Linked DNA regions of Oreochromis niloticus. Each later gene encodes a partner of the first gene's protein in a complex. Links are inferred from orthologs where the notes say so. Each region holds a gene or a part of one and is shown on either strand. Other genes may lie near its edges.

Region 1 (7,125 bases):
CTGTCCAATTACAGGCCAATCTCAAAGCTTCCTTTACTGTCTAAAGTTTTGGAGAAAGTGGTCTACTTACAGTTGCAGGCCCACCTTGATTTGAATGTGATTTCTGAAAAAATTCAATCTGGTTTTAAATCATTACATAGCACTGAGACGGCACTTTTAAGGATTTTTAATGATATTCTTTTAACTCTGGACTCTGGTAGCCCTGCTGCCCTTTTATTGTTGGACCTGTCAGCAGCTTTTGACACGGTCGACCATGACATCCTGTTATGACGGCTAGAATTTCATGCTGGCCTAAAGGGATCTGCCCTACAGTGGTTTCGGTCCTACTTGTCAGGAAGGTCTTTTTATGTCAATATGGCCCCCATAACTCCAAACTAGCCCCTCTTAAATACGGTGTACCTCAAGGCTCTATTTTGGGTCCTGCCCTGTTTGCACTCTATTTGTTGCCATTGGGTTCCATCTTCTCGTGTTACAACATTTCATTCCACTGTTTCGCTGATGATTTGCAGATTTATCTGCCTTTAAAAGCAGGGTCTGACCGTCCCCAGCTCTTATTACGCTGCCTTGACGACATCAAACAGTGGATGTCGTTAAATTTTCTAAAGCTAAATGAAAATAAAACTTAAGTTGTCATTTTCGGCAACTTTGTCAATAATCACATCGATAGCACTCTAGGCCCCTTTTCCTCCTATTGTAAAACACATGTAAAAAACCTTGGTGTCTACCTTGATGGTTCTTTTAAATTGAATAAGCAGGTGAGTGCAGTAGTCCAGTTCTGATTCTTTCAGTTAAGACAGCTGGCCAAGGTAAAGCCATACTTCCCGGCTAACGTCTTTGAACGTGTTATTCGCCTCTTCCTTACTTGCAGGTTGGACTACTGCAATTCATTGTATTTTGGTCTCGACCAGAACTCCATTCATTGTCTTCAGATGGTCCAAAATGCAGCTGCTCGCCTGCTAACTGGGACCAAACGGAGAGAGCATATAACCCCAGTTTTAGCTTCTCTACACTGGCTTCCTGTCTCCTACAGGATCCAATTTAAACTTTTACTTTTTGTTTTAAAGTCACTTAACGTCCGAGCCCCTTCTTACCTGTCTGAGCTCCTTTCTGTTTATGCTCCAGGAAAAACCATGAGGTCTAGCTCAAAATTAATGCTTTCCATCCCACGGACTGATCTCAAATCTCGTGGCGATAGAGCTTTCTCTGTGGCAGGTCCCAGACTTTGGAATAGTCTCCCCCTAAATATTAGACCTGCACAAACACTTGATCAATTTAAATCACTACTTTTTATGCCCTGGCTTTTAACACACTATGACCCAAAAATTTTTGTCTTATTTTAATAGTCTTAGTTATTGTTTTAATTATTTTATTGTCCTATCATTGTTTTATATTGTTATTATTGTTTTACATTGTCTCTTTTTAATGGCATTTTTATATTGTTAAGCACTTTGTGCAGCATCGTCTGTCTGGCTTGCTGAAGCATTAAGAGTTCCTTTTACTGGAAATAACTCCTTAAAAACAACCCCACACCATAATCCCCCCTCCACCAAACTTTACACTTGGCTCAATGCAGTCAGACAAGAACTGCTCTCCTGGCTACCACCAAACCCAGACTCATCCATCGGATAGCCAGAAAAAGAGGCGTGATTCATCAGTCCAGAGAACAGGTCTCCACTGCTGTAGAGTCCACCACTGCTTTAAACCACTGCATCCAGCACTTTGCATTCCATTTGGTGATGTAAGGCTTGGATGCAGCTGGTGGTCATGGAAACCCATCCCATGAAGCTCTTTACACACTGTTCTGATCTAATCTGAAGGCCACATGAAGTCTGGAGGTCTGTAGTGATTGACTCTGAGAAAGTTGCCATCCTCTGCACTCAGTGCGCCTCAACATCTGCTGACCCTGCTCTGATTTTACATGCCCCACCTCTTTGTGGCTGAGTTGCTGCCGTTTCCGATCACTTCTGCTTTGCTTACCACTACCAACAGCTGACTCTGGAATATTTAGTACTGAGGACTTGACTGGACTTGTTGCACAGGTGGCATCCTATCACATTACCATGCTGGAACTCACTGAGCTCCTGAGAACAACCCATACTTTCACAAATGTTTGTAGAGGCGGTCTGCATGCCTGGGTGCTTGATTTTATACACCTGTGACCATGGAAGTGATTGAAACACCAAATTCAGTGATTTGGATGAGTGAGTGAATTCTTTTGCCACAATACTGTATATTGAGCTTAGGAAAATACAATCACTTGCTGCAAGAAACTAAAATGATCCAAAGATGGACAGCAGATAGCTCTCAGATAGCTACTCTGCTTTGCCGTTTCATTTGTACAAGCTGTATAAATATCACAGGAATATCAAGATGGAAGTGAAATGAGAAAAACAAAAAGTGAGATAGCAGCAAAATCTCTGCTGCTCATGCTCACACTCGCATAAACTCTGATATGGAATTTACCTGATACAGGGATCCTAAAAGAGCAGCCGGGGCAGCACACTACGTCCGGTATTCCTGGGAGAGGAAGAACATTCCCACACTCTGGGCAGAAGTTGGGACCACCACCAAAACACGACATCTCTGTTTCATGTAAAGTATTATTGTTATACATTTTGATATTATCAATAACTGTAAAATAGTATCGAATAAAAATTTAGACTGACTTATTTTGCTTTGTCGATTCACATTTTAGAGCTTACCTTCCAAAATAAGTTAAAGCGGTAATGTTGTTTTGTTGTCTAACACTCACTGGAGCAAAACACCGCACGTGGCACTTGAACACGTGAAGTGCAGTCGATTAAATCTGTAACTGTCAACTAACGCTGTGTTCAGCTTTCGTCGTCAGCCTTAGGCTTTAACAAAAGACTTTGATGATTTACCGTTTAATGTCTTCACAGGATTGGCAATCTAAACAAGACGCGGTTTATAGCAAAGATTCTCTGTTGTTACTTTCAGCCTGACATCTGCATGGTTACACACCGTCGGGTCCTACAGCGGTTGGTTGTCTGTCGCGTTCTACACGTCATTGTGACGCGCTAACAGTCGCGCTTTACTTTAAACAGCCGTTGACTTTTCTCTCTCGTAGTGAAGGTATGTCGATTATTAAAAGAACTGTAGGCAGTGCACGTTACCAGTACCTGCGGCAACATGACTGTCACCTCTCTGAAGTTTAATGTTGAGCCGTGAGATGTTCCAGTGAGGATATGATGAGTTCTTTGTTAGCCGCTGAGCTAATTGCAGCTAGCTGTTTAGAATACTTGGAATTTGCTTTTACGGTTATTGCTAAAAAGGCCACTCGCTGTGTTTACGTCAGCTGCCGTAATATCAGACGAGCCCGAGTGAATAACAGACATCGGGGATGGTCCCAGTTTTATGGCGACCGTAGTTTCATGTCGGTTATGATCTGCAGTGTGATGAAGAAATCTTAAAGACATATCAGTACTGCTGGATTTGAACTTTCAAAAGTCAAAACATAACTGCGCGTGTGGTTATAGCTATTTAATATTCAGCGACAATAAAAATAAAAGTTCCGGAATATTCCTTCAAAATAGAAGCTCAAAATGAAACCAGGCAATTGTTTTTTAGCACAGTGGACTGGTTCATGTTTTCAACCTGAGGTGGTGGACATCACTGGAGTCCTTATAGAAATTCTAGCCTGCCGTACAAGTTGGTGCCTCATGTTAGACACACCACTATTCTGGCATTTATGCAATATAAATTAATTTTGCAGGGTGGCACAGTTGTTAGCACTGTTGCCTCACAGCAAGAAGGTCCTGAATTCAGTTCCACCATCAGGCAACTCCACTTTATGTGTGGAGTTTGCATGTTCTCCCTGGGTTTTCTATGAGTACTCCGGCTTCCTCCCACACTCCAAAGACATGCAGTTAGTGGGGTTAGGTTAATTGGAAACTCTAAATTGCCCATGGGTGTGAATGGTTGTCTGTGTCTATGTGTTAGCCCTGTGACAGACTGACGACCTGTCCAGGATGTACCCTGCCTCTTGCCCTAAGAAAGCTGGGATAGGCACCAGTGTGACAGTACCTGGTGTTAAGTATTCTGCTTTCACTCAAAACACTTTGTAACCTTTGTACACCTTTTTAGTTCTGATTGAATTCTTTGTACCAACAATTTAACAGAGTGCAGAAAACATTTTCTCAGAGATTGTGGCCCATGTGGACATCATAACATCACACAGTTCCTGCAGATTTGTCAGCTGCACATCCATTGTAGACTGTACTATTTTTACTCATATTTGTTATCATGCTGCTGTAACACAAACATGTGGGATCAATAAAATATGTATTTATCTACACTCATGTTGTTTGTGCTAAATTCTGACCCTCCCATGCAAGTGTTGTAGCAGACTCATCAAACCAGGCAACGGTTTCCAAGCTTCTGTTGTCCAGTTGTGATGATGTTGTTCAAGTTGTAGCCTTGCTGTTGTGTTGTTAGCGGACAGGACTGGCACCTGGTGTGCTCTCCTGCCTCTGTAAGCCCACTTCATTTATCTTATGTTTTGTTATGATGCATGTCTGCAAGTAGCTAAGCAGTTTAGCAGTCTGGCCATTCTCCTCTGACCTCACACATCAACAAAGCACTCCATGGATATTTTCTCTTTTATTGGACAATTCTCTGTAAACCCTACAAAGGGTTTACACTGGATTTGTGTGGGAAAACCTTAGCAGAGACGTTTCTGCAGTACTCAGATTAGGATACAGGGCGCCAATAATCAAGGTGTGTTCAAAGTCACTTAAATCAGCGTTCTCCCCCATTCTACAGCTCTGTTTCAACTGGAGCAGGTCATAGTAATTATCTCTAAACGCCTAAAAAGCAATTCATCATTTCTCAACATTGTTGACATTTTTCAGTGTATTTGTTTTCTCTCCCCTTTTTTCTCTAATTTTTATGTATTTTTTGAGGAGGGTGAAGAATCTTTTTTATTCTTCTCTGCACTATTTTGGTCTCTGTTTATAGTTTGTTTGGTAAAAATAGAAATGGTTCTTCTCTGAAACAGTGATGAGCTGCACATGTATGTCATTCATTTATACACTGGATTGTATGGAACGATGTCCTGCATGTTTCCAAGGGACTTGGAGACCAGGGTTAATGATGTATGTCTAATTGTCAGTATAATAACAATGAAGTTGATTAGGACTTGACTTTGGGAGGGGGGATTGGGCTGCTGCACTCAGAGCATGAGCTTGAGATAGCTAGATTAAGGACATTTGCTCTCACTGACGTCTCCGAACCAGGAGTGAAAAAAAACCTGAAGTCTAAGCTGCTGGCTCCTTTTTGCACACATGCTGACCCCAATAATTATAACTTTGGCCATGTTGATCCTTTTAGCACTGTGAAAGTTTAAAAGCTCTTTGTTCCTGAAGTTTCATACACCACATTTGTTTTTCTCGTTTCGCAGCAGGGTCAGGATGACAGAAAACGACGTAGATAACGAGCTGTTGGACTACGAGGATGATGAGGTGGAGGCCGGAGGGGCTGGAGATGTTGGAGGTGCAAGTGACGTGTCGATAAGAAAGGAGGGGGTGAAGGGCTCTTATGTGTCCATTCACTCCTCTGGATTCAGAGACTTTCTATTGAAACCTGAACTGCTGAGAGCCATAGTGGATTGTGGGTTTGAACATCCGTCTGAGGGTAAGTAATTGGTGCCAGGAGGAAAATGTGGAACTGGTACAACCATTGCTGAATTTAATCACCTTTTTATCTTCTCTCTGTATTTGAAGTGTCTGATAAAGATTAATGTCAGTTCCTCCTTTAACAGAGCTGTGGTGGGTTTGTGTTGGCAATGGTAATTTTAGTTACATAGCACATTTCATTATGCTCAAACTCGATGTGCTGAACACAGAAGATAAAAACATGAAAATCTGTGTAGGTTTATGTGGTGGGGCGTGGACTGCGGTGCCGTGCGGATGCACCTGCACAGCATCCGCAATCACGCTCACCGTGTTAAAACATGGGGACTCAGGGGTTGGTGGGGTTGTGGTGGTGTGACAAATGTTGAATAAAGATGGCTCAAAACACAGATCTGCGGTCCCGCCGTGCCTTAATTCCACCACACTGGTGCCGAAACCCAGGACGCGGCGGGGTGCGTCCACACGGCACCGCAGACCACGCCCCATCACAGTTTGCAATCTAAATCATTGTAAACCTACCGTGAAAACAGCAAAATAGAATAGAATGCCATTTATTGTCATTGTAAATGTACAACAAATGTATAGGTGCTCCATAGACAGCAGGAATAAATGACAAACATAGCCATATGTACAATCTAGAGGAAAATGTGAAAAAAAAAGACTAAGGCACAGATTGGAGTGCTTGGAAGTGGTGCAAAGGTCTGACTGTAGAGCATGTATGTGAGAGGCCTGAGTGATGAGGGTTGCTCAGATAATGGCTCAGATTGGTGAGGTGGTTGGCAGGGCGTGGGGGGTTTGGGCATAGTGTTTGTTAACTATCAAGGGGAAGAAGCTGTTTGTGAGTGTGAAGGTTTGGGACCTTCACACTCACGGGATGTGAGTGAGGTGATGTAACCATCACCTTTGATGGACCTGGTTTTTCTGAAACAGGAGGAGCTGGCGATGGCTTCCAGGGATAGCAGAGGGCAGCCAGATTTTTTAGGCGGTGTTAATTACAGTCTGTGCAGCCTTCCTGTTCTCCGTCGTGGCGTCTGCGTACCAAACAGCCAGGCAGTAGGAGAGTACGCGCTTCACTGAGGAGCAGTAGAAGGCCAGCAGCAGCTTGTGATCAAGGTTATTCTTCCAAGAACCTGAAGGTGGAGACAGATTCCACCCGCTGTCCATTAATAATAATAATAATGATGATAATAATAATAATAACTTTATTTATAAAGCGCTTTCAAACAAAGTGCTGTACAGCTATTTGAAACTAAAAAGATAAATGAATAAAAGCGATACATAGCAATACAAGTAAAAAACAGTAAGAATTTAAAAACTAGAAGGCATAGAATTAAGACATGTAAGATAGGGTGAACAAATGTGTCTTCAACTTAGTTTTAAAAACTTCCACAGAGCATGCCTCCCTAATATCTTGAGGGAGGTTGTTCCAAAAAAATGGGGCAGGAAACGAAAAGGCACGCTCTCCAATTGTCTT
Region 2 (7,346 bases), about 14 Mb from region 1:
TCGCCTGGCAAGCTCGGAGCAGCAAAGGATGTTCTTGGAGAGGGAACACTCGCTACATCATTCCCATGAGATGACAGAGAAGGTAGTAAACTGCATGATTCATCTTCAGCCGCTGTTGGAAGTGTTTGTTAAGCAGGTTTGTGTTTGTGTGTCTCTAACAGGAGGTCCTGGACAACTCCAGTAATGGTATTCCTCAGATCTCCTATAATGGACACACCGCGGCGTCTCCTTGAGGAAGTTTCAGCAGGAGATGATTTGCAGTCTTAAACAGGAGCAGTTACTAAAACTCATGCTGTCACGCAGCTAATGCAGCTTGTAGTAGACTGCGTTTAACTGTATCCTGACTGCAGGGACTGAACCAAATTTGTCGCCTTGGAACCCGTTTACCTGCTGACTGAGTGAAGCGGACGGCATGAAGGAGCCGTTTGTGCTTCTGAATATTATGCAAACATGGGTTCAAATACCTTCGGTTTAACTCACACCAAAGCCGGGATGGTGAGCTGCCGTTTGGATGACAAATGAGGTGACAGACATCTGCGTGAAATCCTCCAATTTGTGAGCGGGAAGGATACATTTCATCCAGTCAGATCAAAGTGATGAGCACAAACCAAGCATGCAGCTGATTCACTTGTTTAGAAGAGCTATTTCAGTCTCATCGTCCTTATTCTCTCCCTCTCTGTCATGTTATTGGTTTATGGAATCCAGATCTTGAGATAGCCTTTGGTAAACTGTATGTATCATCTGATAATGGAATGCTTTGAGAGAAAAAAATTACAGTAATGCACAATGTACTGTATGTATCCATGCTTGTAAATCAAACATATTTTTATAATGCTTCTTATAAAGTTCATTCAATTAAAGTACGACTAATAAAAGAATTGCACAGTCTTGCATTTTGTTTTACTGTTGCTCTGTTAAATACATGTTGAGATGAATCTGGTTTTATGATCGCTGTTTATGCAGACTAGCCTTTTTTTTACTTACATAGTTGCCAGTTTGTGTGTTTATAGTACATGAACATGCATGTTTGTGGAAGTGTGTTTGTGTTTGTGAAGTATGTGAGGTTTAAGTAAAATTGTGATGGGAATTACTTTTCAGTTCGTAAGCCAGATTTCAGCATTTTAATCAATACACTACATCATTGTAGGTGATAGTAACACCCAAAGGTTAAAATAACACACTGAAAAATCGCACTACGAAGAACCGTATTTAAATGACTCAGTCATATTAACGAAATCCAGGTGGGGTTTTTTTCAAAACACACATTAGAGAGCAACCATCTCACACCTTGTGGGCGGTCTGCAAGCTCGGGTCCTCTACCAGAACCTGGGAGCTTGAGGGTCCTGCGCAGTATCTTTGCTGTTTCTAGGACTGTGCTCTTCTGTACACAGATCTTGGGTGTTGTTCCTGGGATCTGCTGGAGCTACTCGCCCTGTTCAGGGAGTCACTGCACCGAGTAATCCGATTACCACTGGGATCACTGTTACTTTCACCCTCCACATCTTCTCGAGTTCCTCTCTCAGCCATTGGTACTTCTCGAGCTTCTCGTGATCCTTCTTCCTAATTCCTATCACTCGGTATACAGCCGTCTTGCTCTGCTTGTCCACCACTACTATGTCCGGTTGGTTAGCCATCACCAGTTTGTCTGTCTGTATCTGGAAGTCCCACAGGATCTTAGCTTGGTCATTCTCGACAACCCAGGGGGTGTGTCCCATTTTGATCTTGGGACTTCAAGGTGATACTCAGCACGGATGTTTCTGTATACTATGTTGGCCACTTGGTTATGGCGTTCCACGTATGCCATGCCTGTTAGCATCTTGCATCCTGCTGTTATGTGTTGGACTGTCTCAGGGGCATCTTTACACAGCCTACACCTGTGGTCTTGCCTGGTGTGGTAGACCCCAGCCTCTATCAATCCTGTGCTTAGAATTTCTCTATAACTGACAATGGCACATGCCGTGCAGGGGCCTGTCCTTCCATGATGGTTCCTCTTCTTGCTCCTCTTCTTTCTGGGAATACTGCTGCCTGAATGCCTGGATATTTATTTACTATCCTGGATAGTGTTTCTGAAACTCTGTGCTCTTCTGCCTCCTTCCTTCTGCTTAGAGTAAAGTCTCAGGGAGCTGGACTTGGGGTGAAACCAAAGCCATGATATTCTCTTCCAGGTCAGCTGTTCTTGCATTCAAAGTACCAGTTGTTTTGGGGGGCTTGATACCCAGAAAGTGTGGAGATGATGACATTCCTCTGACATAATGTCCCCTTATTTTTTGTGTTGTACCTAATCAGTCACTCATTGCAATAGCAGTTGCATCTTGTGGATGTTGGAGCACTGAAGTTCAAGTTTGATGTTTGTCTAGATGCTGGTTGTCAAAGAACCCATAGATCCCACATCCTCATGTAATCCCTGTGTAATACCATCCAGCAGTTATCTATTTTTGCTTGTCCACTCATGCCTTATACTTCTTCTTTTATTTTATGTGCCATTTTATTCACTGAGTCATTTACAAACTATGTACTTATGCATTATTTCCTCTACCACATTTGTCCCCAATATATTTCCTGTCTCTATTTTTTAATTTAACATTTTTAATTTCTTTATCCAGTATGGTTCTTTTATAACTAAGCTATTAAATAATGAAAAAATCAGTAAATAACAAGGGAAGTTATATAGGAAAATGCATAGCAGGAGAATTAATAGAGACTGAATTAAATACAAAGAAAATGATCAAAATGATCAAAATCCATGTTGATGGTTATAATGACAATAATATATTTGTTGGGTTGAATTTTAGATTTTGGCAGTTCCAGTCCTTCATAGCATCATCAATTCAGAAAGCCACTGCATTCTCATGAGACCACAGTTTAAGGCAATGATGATGCTGTTCAGGGTTCCCACACTTGTCGTAAAGTTAAGTGACAAAGTAAATCAGTTTCATAGCACCCGTCAGACCTGCAAGCTTAAAATGCTTCACAAAGGAGGAAGAGCAATAAAAACCTGTTTCCTCCACACAGATGCTTGCACACAGACACAGCTGTGACCTCTTATGAAGATAAGCTCTGACAACATCATTGCTGCTCAGCACCTCATTACAGTGTTCGCCAACTCCAGAGAGAAGCTCCAAACAGAGATGTGTGTGCATCTGTGTGCATTTATGCATGTTTGTGTGCTGACTGGGGCCCACAGCAGCAGAAGCCACAGGGAGCTAAGAAACCATGCACTATTTATCACCGTGACAACAGACAGGAAAGGGCCATGGCTCCTAACAGAGCACCGGGTCTGCGATTCCTGTGAGAGTGTGTGTGATAAAGAGAGAGAAACGCTGAATCATGTGACCTCCTGCGGTGCTGCCCTGTCAGAAAACAGTAACACTAGATACATCTGTGCATGTGTCAGGATATTTTCAGTGTATGCCTGTGTGTATGGCTGGACACGCTGCACTAGTTGCACTAATTGACACCTCAGGTCACCCTAATGATCTTAATGTGGCTCTGCGGGTGAGAATGGGATACAGAATCAATGATCACCTCCTACCACACGAGCTCCCTAACAGCATCCCTGCCAGGCCTATCAGGGCCGAACTTGTAGATTACATAACAAAGGGCATCAGGTAACTTACGTAAGCATCATAACAGCTACTTACAACAGCAAAGCCACATGGTGCTCGTTTTAATTTGCTAAAATTTTGTCTAAAGCTAAAAGTGATGCTGGCGAATGCCTGAGCCTACTTCTGCAGGAGGTTTCTTCCTGTTAAAGAGGAGTTCTTCCTTCCCACTGCCGCCAGGTGCTTGCTCAGATGAAACATATTTATCTGTGGCTGCAGTTACTTTGCAGGGCTAAATTTAATTTACAAATTTAAAATGTGAAAATGAAATAGCCACTCGGAATAAGTTCACCATGTTACACAGGACATTCATTATTTAAACTAACAGACAGTTTGGCCACATGCAATATTTAAATCCATCAACATGTTATGCCAGGAAACATTAAAGCATTACTGCACACAGACTATCCATGAACAGCCATTAAGTCTGCAGTCACTCATTTATCATCGTTAAACAGTGTAAAAGTGTTTTGATGATGATTCAGTCTGTGCTCTGCAGACAAAAGGGGCAGTAAGTTATACAATTCTTCATATTTTCTAATTATTTCAAGGTTTTTAGAATATTTCTGTGTCTAAAAAACTATTAAACACAATACTTTTTGACAATCATTACGTAAAGATAGTGAATGGGATCTAAAATAAACTATGAAATAAGCTTGCAGTATGAAGTTTGTGGGGTGCGCTTCTCTTCTTCACCAGCAGGGGGCAACAATAACAAATGCAAAGCGGAAGTCACCTCTTGTTTGTCTTCCGGTCTTTCTACGCAACATGGCGAATTTGGAGCATGGTGAAGACAACCCAAAACATGTGAGAATGTCCGGTGAAACTCCCGACGCGTCCGTCCCGGACCAGGCGGCCCAAGAGACCCCAGCACCGGTAAACACTGCTGCCGCCCTCCCGTTATCGATCCCGTCGTTCGCCGCTGCCTCCGAGCTGTTGTCAGCGCCGTACTCGTGTCTGGTCATGAACACCCACCGGAGACACATCGCCCTGCCGCCCGTGTATCTGAACAAGAAGAAGACGGGGATAAAGGAGGAGCTGGAGGCCGAGCTGCTCAAGTTCTCTCAAAGGTGCTTCTTTTTTTCCCCCGCCGACGATTTTATCCAGTCAATAAAGCATTTTCAGCCGGACAGTCCACTTTCCCACGTACGCAAACACGCACACGAGCTGGGATGTCTTCTAGCCGTCTCGTGTGTTGTAAAAGTTCATGAACCTAGTAGCTACGCATGAAACGCAGACTTTCAGCTTTAATTCAGGGACTTTAACAAAATCAGTGCATTGTTTGTCCGGAAAATACAGCCATAGACACATAATCTAACTCCGTTTAAATGTGTTTTTAAATCCCTTACAGTCAATGAGTGCCTAAAGTCTAAAAGTCATGAACATCACATCACCAACTGCGGTTTCTTCCTTTGAGAAGCTCTAGCAGGTCTTTACTGCAGCCAGCAGTTGCTGCTTATTTGTGGGCAATAACTGCATTCAATTGTTAGTTCAGTAACTGAAAACCTGCTGTATTTGGTAGAGATCAGGTAACTTGGCCATTGACGATTATCTCTGCTCTTTCCCTCGGGAAACCCTTGGGGATTTGCAGTGTGCTTCGGGTCATTGTCCATTTGCACTGTAAAGCACTGGCTGATTAGTTTTGCAGCATTTGTCTGAATCTGAGCAGAGACGATCCCCAGGTCGTCCTGCTGTCACATTATCTATAAACACCAGCGATGCAGCTCCACAGGCAGCCATGCATGCTCATGCTTTAATACTTCCTCCACCGGGTTGACAGATGATTTTGCTCTCTCTTATAGCTTTACTTTGGTTTCTCAGCCTGATGAAGATCATCTTTGTGTGCACTGATATCTCTTTGGGCCACATAATGATAATTCCAGGGAACAGCTACAAAATACAAGTTTAAAATTCTTTATTCTCCAGATCCTTTATCCTTTATCTGCTTAATTTATTGTTTAACAGAGAGAGCAGGCCTCTCCTGGCTAAAAACAGACACCTGTTACTCAGTGTTACTGAACTGTCCCGTTACTTGTGAGCCTCTGAAAATTGAGGATTAAACAGTTAATGTAGTTATTTTGTTAAACCCCTCCGAGTTAAAGTTTATAATCTGAACTTGAATCACATCTTAATGGTTTGTTTTAGAATCCACTGTGGTGCTCTGCAGAGGTAAAAGTACAAACAATGTGTGATTGTCTGCAAAATGTATTTTATGCATGAATCACTGAGCGTGGCCTCGGTGAGGCATTAAAACCAGTAATGGTAACGCAAAAAGGTTTTTCAGTTTAAATAAACTGTTAATGCACAAGATGACCTCGTTACTGTTGTGTCTTTCAGTCTGAACGGAGTCCCCTTAGCCTACGACGACATCAGGATAGTGAGACACCTCGGAGACATTTACGACGACAGCGGCTACATCCACGTGGACGTGGAAGCCAGCTTTATTGTTTTTCAGCCGCAAAAAGGACAAAAACTACGGGTGAGATTTACATTTACATTATTTAGTAGAAGCGGAGAAGCTGACGGGACTTTACCTGACATATAGTGTCTGTTAAACGAGACCTGCACTTTTCAGTGTTTACTATTGTTGTAATATTCAAACAAGTGACATATTAAAACCTGCTGCTCTGAGGCGTACCTGTATTTTGTGGGAGTGATAAAGTGCCTCTGATAAAATACAATAACTAACAGCGTGTATCACGTATTTGTCTGTTTGTAGGGTAAGGTAAATAAACTGGGAATAAGCCACGTAGGCTGCTTGGTGCACGGCTGCTTCAATGCCAGCATTCCCAGACCGAATCTGGTTTCTGTGGAAACATGGAGAGACGCGGGGCCGAGGATCGGATCAGAGGTGGAGTTTGATGTGACGGCGCTCGACGCCGACACTGCTGGGGTGCTGCTGATCAGAGGACGACTGGACAAGACCAGGCAAGTGTGCAGTATCAGTGATGGTGATTTTAGTAGCTTCGGGGCAAAACTAAAGGCCCCAGTGTACTCGTCACTTTGTGCACTGCCGGTAGCATCATCACACGAGTAGCCACTGCAGTATTCTCCTGAACGATAGGCGAGCAACTCAGACCTTCACATCAGCGCTGGTATGGGAGGAGAAAAAGTCAAAGCGACGTTAAACAGCACGATTGTACACTTGTGTCTTCAGCCCGGCTGAGCAATGTATGACTACATGTACTGAACAAGGCATTTAGTCAACAAAATCCAAATGTACAACAAAATTGTCTCTGAATCACATTTCATCTGGACTGTGGAGATAAAGAGAGTAACAACAATTCAAATTCTGAATCATCTACAAGATCAAAACAAGTTTAAAACTGAATCTAACGTTATAGGAAGAGAGCGCAGGCAGGATGGAGACGAGTGTTGGGGCTGATTTATGACAGAAGGAAAGAAGCAAGAGTGAAAAGGAAGGTTTATAAGATGACCTGCTCTGATGTATGGCTCTGAGATGGTGGCGCTGACGAAAAGAGAGGAGGCTGAGTTCGAAATGTTAAGATTTTCACTGGAAGTGCCCAGAATGGACAGGATTAGAAATGAGAAAATCAGAGGGACAGCTCCGGTTGAGCGGTACATGTGCAGAGGAGGGATGCTGGATATATGGGACAAAGGATGCTGAAGATGGAGCTGCCTGAGAGGAGGAAAACAGGAAGACCTCAGAGGAGGAGGATGCTAGAGATGCTATGCTCCCTTTAGGAGTTGCTACATCACTGAAGATGAAAATGAAGAAGTCTA

The links.
Region 2: polr1h (region 1) and polr1f share a complex: the UniProt entries of both Homo sapiens proteins name them as parts of the RNA polymerase I (Pol I) complex. The link is inferred for Oreochromis niloticus from reciprocal best matches to the Homo sapiens genes POLR1H and POLR1F.

What each region holds. Positions count from the first base shown.
Region 1 is NC_031985.2:37,865,632-37,872,756, forward strand, and holds the start of polr1h (DNA-directed RNA polymerase I subunit RPA12), read right to left. Parts: upstream 3,006-7,125; 5' UTR 2,703-3,005; intron 2,584-2,702; 5' UTR 2,582-2,583; coding exon 2,464-2,581; intron 1-2,463. Other genes in the region: ddx39b (DEAD (Asp-Glu-Ala-Asp) box polypeptide 39B), read left to right, coding at 5,430-5,652. UniProt on the Homo sapiens protein: Core component of RNA polymerase I (Pol I), a DNA-dependent RNA polymerase which synthesizes ribosomal RNA precursors using the four ribonucleoside triphosphates as substrates. Can mediate Pol I proofreading of the nascent RNA transcript.
Region 2 is NC_031985.2:23,851,159-23,858,504, forward strand, and holds the start of polr1f (DNA-directed RNA polymerase I subunit RPA43), read left to right. Parts: upstream 1-4,339; 5' UTR 4,340-4,370; coding exon 4,371-4,672; intron 4,673-5,939; coding exon 5,940-6,081; intron 6,082-6,321; coding exon 6,322-6,530; intron 6,531-7,346. Other genes in the region: tmem196 (transmembrane protein 196), read left to right, coding at 1-82, 162-233. UniProt on the Homo sapiens protein: Component of RNA polymerase I (Pol I), a DNA-dependent RNA polymerase which synthesizes ribosomal RNA precursors using the four ribonucleoside triphosphates as substrates.